Linked DNA regions of Diceros bicornis minor. The protein of the gene in region 1 interacts with the protein of each later gene in a biochemical or structural test. Links are inferred from orthologs where the notes say so. Each region holds a gene or a part of one and is shown in the gene's direction. Other genes may lie near its edges.

Region 1 (7,918 bases):
AAGGATTTAAATACAAACAAAATAAAAAGGAGAAAATACTTTGGACACTGTCAGACAAGTCCTTTTTCTTCTTTTGGTCCCACTTTCCTCATCTGTATAACAAGGAGGTTGGATTTGCCCAAGGTCACAAAGCTAATAAGTGACAGAGCTAGAATATGAACTTGGGTATTTTGGCATCAGAGCCCAATTTTGTAGTCGCTGTGCTCGTCTTAGTGCCAGTTCATGGCCTGTTTCTGTTCCTTTGCTGCCTTACTGTGGGCAACAAACATTTATGTTGCCTGTGCTCCTGCTATTTTCACCTACCGGATGTGTAGGTGCCCCTGTCTCCTAGCTTCCTGCATCCTTGCTAATCCAAGGAAACCCTATGACCTTTGGGGTAAGGAATGGATAACAAGGTGAGAAAATGAGGATGGTGGCTCAGGTTCTGGCATGTTTTTTTGAGGAGTGGAGCCACAGTAAAATAGAGCCAGAGCAGCCATTTCAGATTTTCTTTATCTTCCAAACTGTACCAAACCACCAACATTCCAAGGAGTCAGTAAGGACAAGAATATCCTGTCTGTAAGAACTGATGGACCTGGACTTTGTTGATGACTGGATAGCTAACCAATCAATGACGTACAAATGTAGCCTTTTGCCTGATGATTGACCCTCAGGCAAAGTACAAACCTAGTCTCACCTCATCCAGCACCAATGAACTCTTCTTTAAGATAGTCCACTTCAGGGGCCGGCCCCGTGGCTTGGCGGTTAAGTGCACGTGCTCCGCTGCTGGCACCCCGGGGTTCGGATCCCTGGTGTGCACCAACGCGCGGCCTCTCAGGCCATGCTGAGGCCGCGTCCCACATACAGCAACTGGAAGGATGTGCAGCTATGACATACAACTATCTACTGGGGCTTTGGGGGAAAAAAAAAAATAAAAATAAAAAATTAAAAAAAGATAGTCCACTTCATCCTCCCTTTTTCCCATAAAAACCCTAAGCCCCTCTCCTGTTAATGGGAGACTATTTGGGTTTCTACCTGAATCTGTGCTCCCCAAATTGCCATTCTTTGATCTCAAATAAATGCTTTGTTTCTTAAATTGGTTTCTGTTTTTGTAGGTTGACAGTGGGAAAATATATATAACATAAATTTTGCCATTTTAACCATTTTTATGTGTACAGCTCTGTGGCGGTAAGTATATTCATATTGTTGTACAGCCATCACTACCATCCATCTCCAGACATTTTTCACCTTCCCCAACTGAAACTCTGTACCCATTAAACAGGAACCTTCCATTCTTCCCTTCTTCTAGCCCTTGGCAATCACTATTCTACCTTCTGTCCCTATGAATTTGACTACTCTAGGAACCTCATATTAGAGGAAACATATAATATTTGTCCTTTTGTGACTGGCTTATTTTACTTAGCATAATGTCTTCAAGGTTCATCTATGTTGTGGCCTGTGTCAGAACGTCCTTTCTTTTTAAGGTTGAATAATATTCAATTGTATATATACGCCACATTTTGTTTATCCATGCATCTGTCTATAGACACTTGGGTTGCTTCCACCTTTTGGCTATGGTGAATAATGCTGCTAGGAACATGGGTGTAAAAATATCTCTTTGAGTCCCTGCTTCTACTTTTTTTGGGGTAGATATCCAGAAGTAGAACTGCTGGATCAGATGGTAACTCTATGTTTGACTTTCTGAGGAACCACCAAATTGTTTTCCACAGCTGGTGCGCCATTTACATTCCCACCAGCAATGCATAAAGGTTTGAATTTCTCCATATCCTCACACCAACACTTGTGATTTTCTGTGTTTTGGTTGTTTTTTTTTTTAATAATAGCTCTCATTGTGGTTTTGATTTGCATTGCCCTAATGACTAGTGATGTTGAATGTTTTTTCATGTGCTTATTGACCATTTGTATGTCTTCTTTGGAGAAATGTCTACTCAAGTCTTTTGCCCATTTTTAAAATGGATTTTTGTTGTTGAGTTTCTAGAATCTTTCAGAGCTTCCTTTCTTTTTTTTTTTTTTTGTGAGGAAGATTAGCCCTGAGCTTACATCTGTGCCCATCTTGCTCCACTTTATATGTGGGACACCTGCCACAGCACGGCTTGATAAGCAGTGCATAGGTCCGAGCCTAGGATCCAAACCCGCGAATTCTGGGCTGCCGAAGCGGAGCGTGCGAACTTAACCACTGCGCCACCAGGCCAGTGCCTTTCAGAGCTTTCTTACCTCTAGAAATTTTTGTGAGACTTGGAGTTGTGTGGATGATGTCTTCTCAGCCCCTGGGCTGCCTTCTGGCAGGACCCTTGTCTCTGGAGGATGAAATAACCAGAGTTTCTCATTCAGTCTTTCAGATTAATTAATTAATCAAATAATTCATTAATTGTATCATTATCCAAAGAGTCACTCTTTGGATAGATCAGATTTCCAGGCTAACACAAAAGAATATGTGCTTATATATTTATGTGAAGCTCAAGAACTGTCAAAGTTGATCTACAGCACTAGAAGTCAAAATAGTAGTTATCTCTGGGGGAGCAAGTATTGACTGGGAGGGCACATACTGGAGGAAATAAAAGGAACTTTCTGGTTTGATAGTTCTGTAACTTGATCTGGCTGGTGGTAACACAAGAACATAGGTAAAAATTTATTACTTAAGACGTTTGCATTGTGCTGTATGCTAATTATACCTTGCTTTCTAAAAGTTAAAAGAAAAAGCTTTAAAAAAACTTTTTTCTGATGGGAGATTCCTCAAAGAATTAAAAATAGAGATGCCCTATGATCCAGCCATCCCACTACTGGGAATCTATCCAACGAACCTGAAATCAACAATCCAAAGAGGCTTATGCACCCCTATGTTCATTGCAGCATTATTCACCATAGCCAAGAAGTGGAAGCAACCTAAGTGTCCCTCGACTGACGACTGGATTAGGAAAATGTGGTATATATTACAATGGAATACTACTCAGCCATAAAAAAAGACAAAATCGTCCCATTTGCAACAACATGGGATGGGCCTGGAGCGTATTATGTTAAGTGAAATAAGCCAGAAAGAGAAAGACAAACACTGTATGATCTCACTCATATGTGGAATATAAACCAACACATGGACAGAGAAAACTGGACTGTGGTTACCAGGGGCAGTGGGGGTGGGCACAAGGGGTGAAGGGAGTCATATATATGGTGATGGACAAACAAAAATGTACAACCCAAAAATTTCACAATGTTAGAAACCATTAAAACATCAATAAAAAAAAAAAAAACTTTTTTCTGGGCTCTGATAAATCCTTTTGGTGTTAATTTCACAGGCTCCAAGGCCTGAGGTGCCCCCTTGTGGCCGCCTGTGGTTCTCTTAATTTTTCTCGGCCCTCTTGGGCCCAGCACCTAGCACAGTGCCCAGGATTCACACAAAACAACAAATACTTATTGGGGCCTTCTCTGTGACAGGCACTGTGCTATGTGCTGAGGAAACAGCAGCAAACAAGATGGTTAAAGTCTCCTTCCTTACGGAGTCCACAATCTAGTGGTGAAGACAAGGAATAAACAGCCTAGTGCCTCCTAATGAGGACAAGTATGAGAATCTGCCTGGGGAGTGGTCAGGGAAGGTGTCCTTGGGGTATCCATGTTTGAGCAGGGATCTGAAGGCTGTTGAGTTATCTCTGACGGAGGAGAGCATTTCAGGCAGAGGGATCAGCATGTGCAAGGGTCCTGAGAAGGGAGGCAGTACAATATGTGAAGAAGATGATGGCAGTTACAGTCTAGAGAGAGTGGAAGAGGGCCCTGAGAGAAGTCTGAAGATGTGGGAAGGCAACAGTAAGATATTTATTTGGCCTTTATCTCAAGAGCAATGTGGAGCCATCAAATAGTCTTAAAGAAATGAGGGACATGATCAGATTTCTGACTTTGAAATAATACTCTGACAGCAGGATGAAGAATAGATTGCAGGGAACCAAGGAGGATGTGAAAAGGCCATGGATAGCTACTGCACCAGTCCAAGCACACAAATAAATATTTGTGGAAGGACAGGACTCCAGACTCCTTTTTGTAGATGAGACCAGTATGCCTGAGCTGTGCAGTTTACAATCCACCTGCTCATATTCTATCTTCTGTGATGCTCATAACAGATCCTTAACTCTCATTTTAGGGATGAGAAAGTTGAGGTTCAGATGCAAAAGAAAATCACAGCTATCAAGAGTGAAAGCCAGATCTGAATCCAGGCCTATATGACAGGTATCAAGCCCAGCGCTGGTGAGGGTTCCCTACATTTGGGGAGAGGGGAGGGGCCGCACTCCCTTGTTCACGCAAGAATTATTTTATTGAGCACCCACTGAACTTGCAAGCCTGACGGTAATGGGAAAAGTAGAGAGGAGCTTATAATAATAATAAAGGTTAACTATCTTTATCACCATTAACGTTATTAGACACTATGTGTCAGGCACTGTGCCAAAGGCTGTCCATGCCCTTATTTCCTCTTCGCAAGCGCTATTATTATCCCCATATTTCAGATGGGTAAACTGAGGGTTGGAGAGTTGCCTTGCCCAAGGACACTCAGCCAGAGGGCTCCTATAGGGCTGTGCAGAGCTTCCCAAGTGAGGATAGGAGCCACCGCCGATATTACAGTGCCAGGCGGCATACAGAGATCCACTGGATCCCGGCCCTAAGCACTCTGCACCCAAGTGAGCGGGCGCGCGCTCCCGGGGACGTTTGGTCACGTGACCCAGGGCCCCGCCTCTGGGTCCGCCCCGCCCCTCCCGCGCTCCCTCCCTCTCGCCCTCCCTCCCCCTCCCTCCCCGGCCCGGTCCGGCCCATCCCCCTCCCCGCCGGCTCCCCGAGGCCCTGCCGGGTCGGGCTGCGGGCGGCCGGGCGCCGACGGCCGGAGAGACGGGCGCACGCGAGGACGGACGGACGGACACACGGAGGGCCGCGGGCACGCACGGCCCCGGCCGGTGCTCCGAGGCCCGCCCGGGAGGGCTGGGGCCGCGCTCAGGTGAGGTGACGGCGACGCGGGCCCGTAAGGGGTGGGCCCACCGGGCGTCCACGGTCCCAGCCCGGCTGGCGCCGCTGGAAGGAGGTGCCGCCCGGGCCCGGCGCGGGAAAATGGCGCCGGCCGACCGTGGAGCACGGCCCCAGTGCGGGCCCGGCCCGGAGCCGCCCCGCCCGCCGCGCTCCTGTCCCCGTCGCCATGTTGGGGAGCGGGCCCGGGGCCTGCGGGCGGGGGCGCTGGAGGGAGCGGGGGCCCGGCTGGGATTGGGGAGGGTGCGGGACGCGGGGTCCGGGGCGCTGAGGGAGTGCAAGGCCGGCCGGGGTCTGCACGGGGTGGCGCTCCAGGCCCGAGGTACTGGCGGGAGCCGGACGTGGGGTCGTGGCCGGGGTCGCGGAGAAGGGACACTGGGTCCACACGGAAACGGGATCGGGGTCCGTGGGGCTGGGGGACCAGGACCGGGAGCTGTGTTAGGCTATGGGCAGTGTTAGGACCCCAGAGCAGGTAGGACCCGGAGGGGCGTGGGGTCCAAACTCAAGCTGTCAGGGCTGGGGACACTTCTTTGGTGGTGGTGGGAAGAGTGTTGGTTAGAAATTGGGCCCTTTGGGTACAGACGAGGATAGCAGATTGGGGCAGTCGTCGGAGTCGCGGGGCTGGATTGCAAGTCCGTGTAACTCCCAAGGGACTGAGGACATAGGTGCCCCGAGGATCCTCCACTCCCTGCTGGGGAGAGCAACAGGAAAAAGGAAGGCTTTGATGAGGAAGGGGGAGAAGGAGGGCTGAGGTTTGGATGAAGGAGCTGGTAGCAAAAGGGGTGCAGAGAGTGGAACTGGTTGGCAAGAAGAGAGAGAACCTCCATCAACTTAGGGAGTTTGTGTGTCTTTAAAAGGAGGGACTGGGCTGTTTGTGGGCGGTGACCCAAGGTGTCTTCCCAGGAAGGGGACAGCCCACTGTTTTAAGAGCAGGGTCACCTGGGGAGGTCATCAGAAAGGCGTTATTGAAGCTAGTAAGAATGATGAAGAGGAGTGAATATATAAAAACTACAAGGGTCTTAGGGATCCTGTAACAGTTTCAGATCATGTAGTGACTTGAGCTGAGACCTAGAAAGAAAAAGTTGACTTCTCAGGATCTTACCGATTAGTGGCAGAGGGGGTCTGCTGCCTCCTCATTCCATATACTACCTTAGAGGAATTTGTTAGTTGGGAAAAAAGTGTGAAGTCAATCATGGCAGTATAGATCAAAGAACTATTAATTAATTTTGTTTTTGTAATAAGATTGTCAGTACAAAGACTGAGGGGGATACAAAAAAGTATAGGTAACTAGCTATTTGATAATTTCTAGCCCACCTCCATTTGTGCCAAGAAATTATCTGCAGGACACTTGTGACTTCTAACTTTCTAGAGTTTTAAGAGAGGCTCCTTCTCTTCTAGGTGTTTACTACACAGCAAAGGGACACAGAAAGCCTAAAAAGATAACCGTGAACAATGGTAGAGACCTAGGATCTCTATCATGATCAAACTTTAATTGAGGTTTGATCATGATAGAGAAGAGTTCAAAGTTCATATGGGCTATGAGAGAGTTCTGAGGGAAACTATGCAAATCAGTCATGATATAGTAGTTCCTGGGCTCCCATATAATCAAAAAGGACTTTCAGCAAAAAGATTATGAGGACGTTCATAGCAATAAGATTTTCAATATACAGTATATTCAATACGTATATGCCATACATTTATACAGCAACAGGATTCATTTGTTCTGGATCTTTCTAATGCAAGAAGGCCTAACCTTGTCTGTGCCATGGGCCCCTTTAGCATCTAGTGAAGCTTATGGGCCTCTCTCAGAATTTTTTTTTTTTCCTCCCCAAAGCCCCAGTACATAGTTGTATATCATAGTTGTAGAGTTGTAGCTCTTCTGTGTGGGATGCCACTTCAGCATGGCTTGATGAGCATTGAGTAGGTCTGCGCCCAGGATCCATACTGGCGAACCCCAGGCCACCCAAGTGGAGAGCGTGAACTCAACTGCTGCACCACTGTGCAGGCCCTCTCTCAGAATATTTTTAATTGCATAAAACAAAATACACTGGATTACAAAGAAAACCAATTATGTTGAAATACAGTTACCAAAATATACAAATTTTGATATAGTAATATAGAGATACTTCTTTATCAGCACATTAAGAAATCAGATCTAGTGATGAGTCTGATAATTACAATTTTTTTATTGATGTCATAATAGTTTATAGCATTTCGAAATTTCAGTTGTACATTATTGTTTGTCAATCACCATATAAATGCACCCCTTCACCCCTTGTGCCCACCCCCAACCTGCTTCCCCCAGTAACCACCAAACTGTTCTCTCTGTCTGTGTGTTAGTTTATCTTCCACATATGAGTGAAATCATACGGTGTTTGTCTTTCTCTGTCTGGGGTATTTTGCTTAGCATTATACCCTCCAGGTCCATCCATGTTGTTGCAAATGGGATGATTTTGTCTTTTTTTTTATGGCTGAGTAGTAGTCCATTGTATATATGTACCACATCTTCTTTATCCATTCATTTGTTGATAGGTACTTGGGTTGCTTCTACGTCTTGGCTATAGTGAATAATGCTGCAATGAACATAGGGGTGCGTAAGCGTCTTTGGATTGTTGATTTCAAGTTCTTTGGATAAATACCCAGTAGTGGGATAGCTGGATCATAAGGTATTTCTATTTTTAACTTTTTGAGGAATCTCCATACTGGTTTCCATGGAGGCTGCACCAGTTTACATTCCCACCAGCAGTGAATGAGGGTTCCCTTTTCTCCGCAACATTTGTTATTTTTTGTCTTGGTGATTTTAGCCATTCTAACAGGTGTAAGGTGATGTCTTAGTGTAGTTTTGATTTGCATTTCCCTGATGATTAGTGATGTTGAACATCTTTTCATGTGTCTGTTGGCCATCTGTATATCTTCTTTGGAA
Region 2 (7,631 bases), on another chromosome or scaffold:
CCTCAGGGACAGCTCCTGGACCCCCCAAGTTCCCTGTCTCTATCTTCCCACTGCCCCCACAGAAGAGCTCCAGAAAGAGACCAGCCAGGATGGTGAAAAAAAGAATTTGAACCAGTCCTTGGAGTATTTCTTCTCTAACACCCTGAAGGATGCCTTCCCTCTCCACATTCCCAGCGCAAAGAAGAAGTGAGGGGGCTGGCCCCGTGGCTTAGCGGTTAAGTGCGCGCGTTCCGCTGCTGGCAGCCTGGGTTCGGATCCCAGGCGCGCACTGACGCACCGCTTCTCCGGCCATGCTGAGGCCACGTCCCACATACAGCAACTAGAAGGATGTGCAGCTATGACACACAACTATCTACTGGGGCTTTGGGGGGGAAAATAAATAAATAAAATCTTTAAAAAAGAAGAAAAGAGGGGCTGCGATCCTGAGGACTGGACAGTGGCAGGGAAGGGAGGCCAGTCTGCCATTTCTTTTTTTTTTTTTTCTGAGGAAGATTAGCTCTGAGCTAACATCTGCCAATCCTCCTCTTTTTCCTGAGGAAGACTGGCCCTGGGCTAACATCCATGCCCATCTTCCTCTACTTTATATGGGACGCTGCTACGGCATGGCTTGACAAGCGGTGCGTTGGTGCGCACCAGGGATCCGAACCAGCGAACCCCAGGCCGCCGCAGCGGACCACGCGCACTTAACCGCTTGTGCCACAGGCCTGCCCAGGCTGCCATTTCTTTTGCACCACCTCTCCCTCCAGGCACTGAGAGCTACTCTATCCTCTTGGCCTCCACACCAGCCTGTCCCATCATCCCCTTTAACTGGACCGAGAGGGCTGCAGTGTGGTAAGGCCCAAACTCTATGGTAAAGGAGACTGCCCCCCGTCTCTCCTTTCATCTCTCCTCCTGGCAAAGGCAAAGTGAAACCAGAACCTGGCACATAATAAATGCTCAAAAAAATGAATGAATAAAAGTAGGAGAAACCCTGAAAGACAACCTGGAGAAGGTGTCGGCTTCTTTTTCCACTTCTTGCCTCAGCTATCAAAAACAAGGCTCAGCCAGGCCTGAGTCCCTTCCCTGGCTACCTCATTTGTGATTCATAACCAGGGCACCTGATGGGACAAAAGTGATTGACAGGGGGGCATTAAGTGGCCACTTTACTCTTAGCAGGGCAATTGTTGGCTAACTTCCCAGTCTTTCATCTTTGCTAGCCACTTGATCCCCAATTCCCATAAAATGGCCCCCCTTTCCTCCATTTCCACCATTTTTTCTTGATTGAAAGATCACTAAAGGGTGAAACACCTGGGTTTGAGGTTCTCTTAGCTGGTGGTTCCTCAGTTTCCTCTGTTGTCTTTTTTTTCCCCCCCAAAGCCCCAGTAGATAGTTGTATGTCATAGTTGCACATCTTTCTAGTTGCTGTATGTGGGACACAGCCTCAGCATGGCCGGAGAAGCAGTGCGTCGGTGTGCGCCCAGGATCCGAACCCGGGCTGCCAGCAGCAGAGCGTGTGCACTTAACCGCTAAGCCACGGGGCTGGCCCTCCTCTGCTGTCTTTCCAGAACTCCCCAATAAGGGGGGCTGTGTCTGCAGAGTCAAGGGGTGTCTGCTGGACACCTTATCACTTGCTGACATCACCCAGAGCCCAGGTGGTCAAGAGGAGATGGGGGAGGGGAATTATTGAGGCCCAGGCCACAGAGCTAGTTCCAGGGCAGGCTGGTAGAGGGACTGTCCCCTGTTCCCCCAAACTGCTTGGGGCTTATTGGCAGGGGTAGAGGATGCTGTGTGGGGTCTTGGCTTCCAGGCTTATAGGGGAAGCTTTTCAGGAAGATATCTGGATCCCCTGGTTTCTAGGGGTGGGAACATTGAGAAATCTTGGGGTGCTTCCTAGCAACAATCTGGGAGGGAGGGAAGGAAGAAGAAAGAGAAGGAGGGGCTTGGGCATAGCTGCTCCTATGGGAGCCCAGAGAACAGGCTGTTCCTGCTGCCTCCTTGGCAACCAAAATCTAAGAGGGAGAGGGCCAACAGGCATATCCCCTTGGAGGGTCTCTATCCATCCTCACTTGTGCCCCACCCTCCTGCTCTCCTGATGGACTCAGCCCTGAAGCAGAGGTTGGTGGGGGAGGGGGTGGAGAATGGGAGGAGACAGCTCTGGTGGGGTTTCACAGCAAGGAGAAAACACGAGCTGAGAATGAAATGGCTCTGAGAAGAGCTAGAAGCTTCAAGAAATGGGGGTAGGCAGGGCGAGTGGGGTGGAAATAGGGATGATGCAACACTGGCAGGGGCTATAAGCCCAGACCTGGGCTGGATCCTGGCATCTGGCCAGATGCCTGTTTTGGAGGCAGTGTGCCCTTCACTTTGCCCTTGCCCAGGTCTGTTAGCAGCCCATACTGGGAGCCAAGGAAAGGGAGAGAGATAAGGAAAAGATGGGAATGGTAAACTCTCGTCTTTGAGTTCAAGGCGCCCTATTCTGCCCCTGGGGTAAAAAAAGGTGGATCAGGAGGCACTTCATTTTCTATGGCTCTGGGTCTAGGATTTCAAAAAGTCTCCCTTACCCAATATCATTAGGGCCTTTTGTCAAAGAGAGATGTGGTGAGGGAAGCCAGAATGGAGAGGAGACAAACCATTACACTTTCATCTGCACCCTCTGGACTCTGTCACCCTGCCCTAATCCTCTGCTAGACCTCTCCATTGCCCCCTGGTTCTGCCTGATTGATGCAGAGCATAAATGTAGCTCATCTCATAAATGTATCCTACGCACTGGGATTCTGTCCCAACTACTTGGGCAGCCCAATCTCAAGAGACTATTTCCACACAGGGTAGAGCACGCACCCTGAGCATTGCACACGGCAGCCTTGCTCCCCAGGGTTTCAGCCAAACCTGGTCACCGAGGAGGTGGCATCGACTGGCAGACAGCCACCCTCAGTGCACCTCACAGTGCACACTGCCCTGACTCTACACGATGCAGCCTCCTGCCCCACACTGCAGCTGTTGCATGTCCACTGCAAGCCCAGGCTGAACCCACAGGTTCACTTACTACATGCTGACTCTGCACACTGCAGCCTCAATTCCCCGCTACGGCTGCCACTGCACAATGTAGGCTCCCTTCACCCACTGCATACCTCTTATCACCACCACTCTACTCTGCATCCCGTGGTTTTCATCCCAGCTGCCTTTCTCATCCCCATGATTCTGGGGATCCCAAGAGAAGCACTCCCTTCTCCCCCACGCATTGCAAACCCCAGTACCCCCTGTAAGAGAAGTGGCTCCAACAGAGCTGAGGATGCAGGTGGCTGAGACTAAGACGAGCAAGGGCAGCCCAACTCAGACAGGCTGTTGGTCAGAACGCCACACTAACGAACGGATTCTGCCCAGGATAATCTGGGCGACTGGTAGAGTAGTTCCCATTAACACACACATAACCCTCCCCAAGAGTGAATTGTGGAGACAGGGCCCCGCCCTGGGAGCCATGGGAAGGCTGTGGCCCCTGCTGGTAAAACTGGGCTAATGACAGCAGGGGAACCGGTGGGGCCAGGGGGGTGCTAGGGTAATTAGAGCTCTGCCTGGCGCTGGGAGATCCTGAGATGAAAGGGGCTGTGGCGTCCCTGGGATAGCTTTATGTCCATGAATGCAGGTGTGTGTGCGCACGGGGGGTGGGGCTGGCATGGTGGAGACCTGTCCTTTGGGGAAGGGGATCCATTTTTATGCAGCCTGCCATCCTCCTTAGATTGGCCCTGGTACCATTTGGATTTTGATGGGGGCAAACACGGAGGAAATACCACCTTTGTAAAGCTGAGACTGAGGGGATAGGGCAATCCTTGCCCCCTCCCCAGCTCAGCAAGGGGACCAGATTGTTGAGGAAATGGCTGGTGACAGTGAATAGAAAGAGCCTATATTGGAGGAGGGTGACATTTGAAAGGGGAGGCGGTGGATCAGGTAATGACGTTAGAACTGAGGGGGGAAGAGAGGTAATAGGGAGGAAACCTTCAAAAGGATTAAAAGCATAGGCTGATTGAAGTTAAAGGACCTCAGGGGTCACCTGCCCAGCCCTCACATTTTAAGGTTGAGGAAGCTCTGCCCCCAAGAGCAGTGGTGATCTACTCAAGGTCACAGTGAGTTACTGGCAGAGGAAAGACCCGAACTCAGAAACAAACTCTAAACCTCCTAGGGTTTGGTATTTAGACTTTCTCCCGGACTTAGAAGGTGCAGGAGGCTCATCGATACTCCCTTCTCCATCCGCATGGTGCAAACCCCAAAACCTCCAATTCTTCCAGCAAGCGAATGCTATTTTTTAAATGACATCTTTTCTAAAATATGTCACCAAGTACCACTCCTGCCGGAGACGCCTGGAGTGGGGAGGGCGTGTGCGAGGAGGGCGGGGGCAGAGGCGGCCGAGGGGCGGCCGGGCGCTGGCCGGGGTCCCGGGGCGCGGCAGGGGGCGGGGGGCGGGGGCCGGCGGCGGCGAGGCGGCCTGCAGGGAGCAGCCGAGAGCCGGCCGGGCGCGCGGAGCTCGAGCCCCAGCCCGAGCGGGGCGGGGGAGGGAGGAGCCAAGAGCGACCGCCGCCTCTGCCGGAGGAGCCGCGGGGCCGCCACACTCGCCCCCCGCCCCCCCCCGCGCTCACTCGCACTCACACCCGGGCGCAGGAGGCGGGCGGCCCGGGCCCCACCAGCCCTCCATGGACGCCCCCAGCACGGGGCGCTGAGACCCCGCGTCGCTGCCCAGCCTGGTCCAGCGCGCCACGCCGAGGTACGGGGGAGGGAGCGAGGGGGTATTAATATGCAAATGCATCGCGATTGATTATGCAAAGCCGCGGGGCTCTAGGGCCAGCTCCCAGGCGGGCTGGGGGCGCCCGGGGGTTACCCGCTGCCAGCCTCAGCTTTCCCCGGCGCCCCGGTGACCCTGTCACAGCCCGGGAGCTTGCAACTTACGCCCTGGGGAAGGGAGGTGTTGCTAGGAGGTCGGTGGGCCCCAAGGTTCGCCGGCGGAGATGGCGTCCAGGCCTCCCCCTCGAGGGCCCGCCCGGCCTCTGTCCGGCCCGTCCGCTGAGCCTTCCCGGGCCGGGCCCCGCTGCTGGCCGCCGGAGCTCCCCCGCCCGCCGCGCCGCGGTTTGTTTACGGTGCGCGGGAGGCCTGTCCCCCCAGCCCCCACCCCTAGCCTTCCAGGCCGAGGCCGAGTGGCCTTTGCAAAGCTGCCTCCAGCTGGGGAGGGCAATATGAGTGGGGTGGGGGGTGGACTTGCACGGGCCCCGGGAGAGGAACGTCCCCGTCCCCCCGCCAACCCCCCCCCCCCCGCCACTTCATCCGCCTCCCCAGTTGAGCATGGCTCTCTGGTTGCAACACTCCTAATTGCAAAAAACGCTGCTGGGGGTGAGGGAATGTATTTGAGGGTCCCTAGATGATTAGGGTTGCAAGCTAGGGTGGTTGGGAAAAGGGAGGGAGGAACGGCCCTGTGTTTTGTGTGCCCCCCCCTTTGTTTCCCCCCCCTTGCAACGTGTCTCTGGTGCCCCTTCTCTGGCTGGGGCCCTGCCTTGTCCGGTGTGAAAAAAAGGCATGGGGGTGGGGGGGATGATAGGGGCAATGGAGAGAGCCACCATTTCCAGGGGTGGGAGTCGCAGAAGGAAAGCCAGTGGGCTGGGAGCCCACCCCTCAATGCTGGCTCTGGCCGTAGGAGGAGGCAGGGAAGAAGGGGGCTGTTGTCCAAGATGAGGGGGGAAGCAAATGTGACATGCGGACACAGAGATATGCCCATACAGACAGCCACATGCACACCCAGGGACACCCAGGCAGACTCAAGGACAGGAGCCGCTGGACACACCCACATGGGGACAAGGGGAGAGGCAGGCTGCGGCTGCACGCGGGTGCTTGGAGGGGTGGGACACACCCATGGGAGACCAAGAGCAGGGAGACTGACCCATGCACATACCCACGAACAGGGTCACACAGAGATGCTGTCACACACAGAGACAAGAAGGAGTCACTGTCACCCACACAGAAAAAGTCACTATCGCACGCATGCATGAACACAGAGCAATTGCACACAGCCGCATATTACAAAAGACCCTGTCACTCACAGGCACACACGTGCTCGCATGAGCCCAGTCACACAGGCATCATCGCCTGCTGTGACAGTGATTGTCACTCAGTCAAATGCAAACGCAGTTACACATCAACACATGTATACACAACTTAGCAACAAGTATTTTCCTGGACTCGGTGAGGCGCCTAAGAAAATTAATCTGTCTGAATGAAAAGACTTTACTGCATAATGGTGCAAGGTATGCATTCACGATAACATTCTCGGTCTCCGTCACTTGTCATCCCACCCTGCTAGATGGTGAGCTCCTTGAGACCTGGGAGAATCACTGGAAGAGCTCTGGATCCCATCCAGAGCCTAGCACAGGAAGTGCTCTGTAAATACTTGTTAATTGATTGACTGTGGGAACTCCGGACACAGGTGCACTCATCTGCACACAGTCCCTGCACCCACGGACTCAGGTGCAGAAGGCATTCACAAGGCTCAAGTCCACACAGTCACAGGTCCACGCCAACAGTTGTGTCCAGACAACCCCAGATGCACACACTGTAGCTGTGCAGTCAGACACACCCCTAGATGCACACATAGTCATAGACTCTTTCCCCCAAGCTTCCTCCTGTCTTCTTCCTTTAGGCTCAGCTTTTTTTTTTTTGGAGGGAGTAGAAAGTAGAGCAAAGAGAGTAGGGGGGGCAGGGGGGTTCCAGAGGGCCGAGTCATGGGCCTGAGCAGTTTCCACTGACTTCCAGCAGCTGGGATTATCCTGGCTGCTGGGGGAGGGGGGTGTCGGGGAGAGCTGGCTCCTAGGGAGCGGTCCCTCTCCCCACCCTACAAGCAAACGAGGGGTCTAGCTGCCTCTGCTGGGGTCATTTGTCTGAGCCTTTCCTGGGGCTGCTCACTCGCCCCCAGCTGAGTTCCTGCCTCCCACCAAGAGTCTGGCCCCTCTTCCCACCTCTGCCCTCCTGTCTAAACTTGGAAGCCTTCTTTAGGAGGCCGTATGCTGGTGAGTGTCTGGGTGAGTGATGTGTATTTTTGACTTGGAATATCTCTCTAACGCTGTCTCTCTGCTGCTCTGTCTTGCTGTGTCTGATTCTCCCTCTCCTTGTTTCTCTGCCAGTCTGTAACTCGCTCTCACCCTGTCGCTACCCTGTTCTTGTCTCTGTTTCTGCCATAGTCTCCTTTCTCAGAGCTGGGAACTGGCAGTGATGGTCTTCATACTTTTCCAGTTGTTAATGCTCAAGCCCCACCCCTCGCCCCGCCTGCCCTGCCTCTGGGGTCACTGGGAGGCTGGGGTGGGGGGCGGGGGGCTCAGCTGGCTGCTCAGGACATCCTGCGCTTCCTCAGTGCTGCAGCTGCAGCCAGCAAGTTTTGGGGGCTGGGAATGGGGGGAAGGGAAGGGGGTCAGTTACACCTATGCTGACCTCTCAGGCTGGCAGGCTCAGCCAGGGGACACCAGCTCTGTGGAAGCCCTGGGTGTGCAGGCTGCAGCTAGCTAGCTCCTAAACAAGCCAGTGAGAGGCTCCCCACCATGCTGACCCGCTGGAAAATAATTGCCACCACGGGCAGTGGTGGGAGTTGGCAGGATCCAGCTGAGCTGGGTCCATGGCAGGACTCACAA

What was found.
Region 2: the proteins of NCOA6 (region 1) and THRA form a complex in vitro, tested with the Homo sapiens proteins (2 studies listed by BioGRID). The link is inferred for Diceros bicornis minor from reciprocal best matches to the Homo sapiens genes NCOA6 and THRA.

The regions. Positions count from the first base shown.
Region 1 is NC_080758.1:24,788,237-24,796,154, forward strand, and holds the start of NCOA6 (nuclear receptor coactivator 6), read left to right. Parts: upstream 1-4,804; 5' UTR 4,805-4,969; intron 4,970-7,918. UniProt on the Homo sapiens protein: Nuclear receptor coactivator that directly binds nuclear receptors and stimulates the transcriptional activities in a hormone-dependent fashion. Coactivates expression in an agonist- and AF2-dependent manner.
Region 2 is NC_080757.1:39,638,937-39,646,567, forward strand, and holds the start of THRA (thyroid hormone receptor alpha), read left to right. Parts: upstream 1-4,577; 5' UTR 4,578-4,729; intron 4,730-7,631.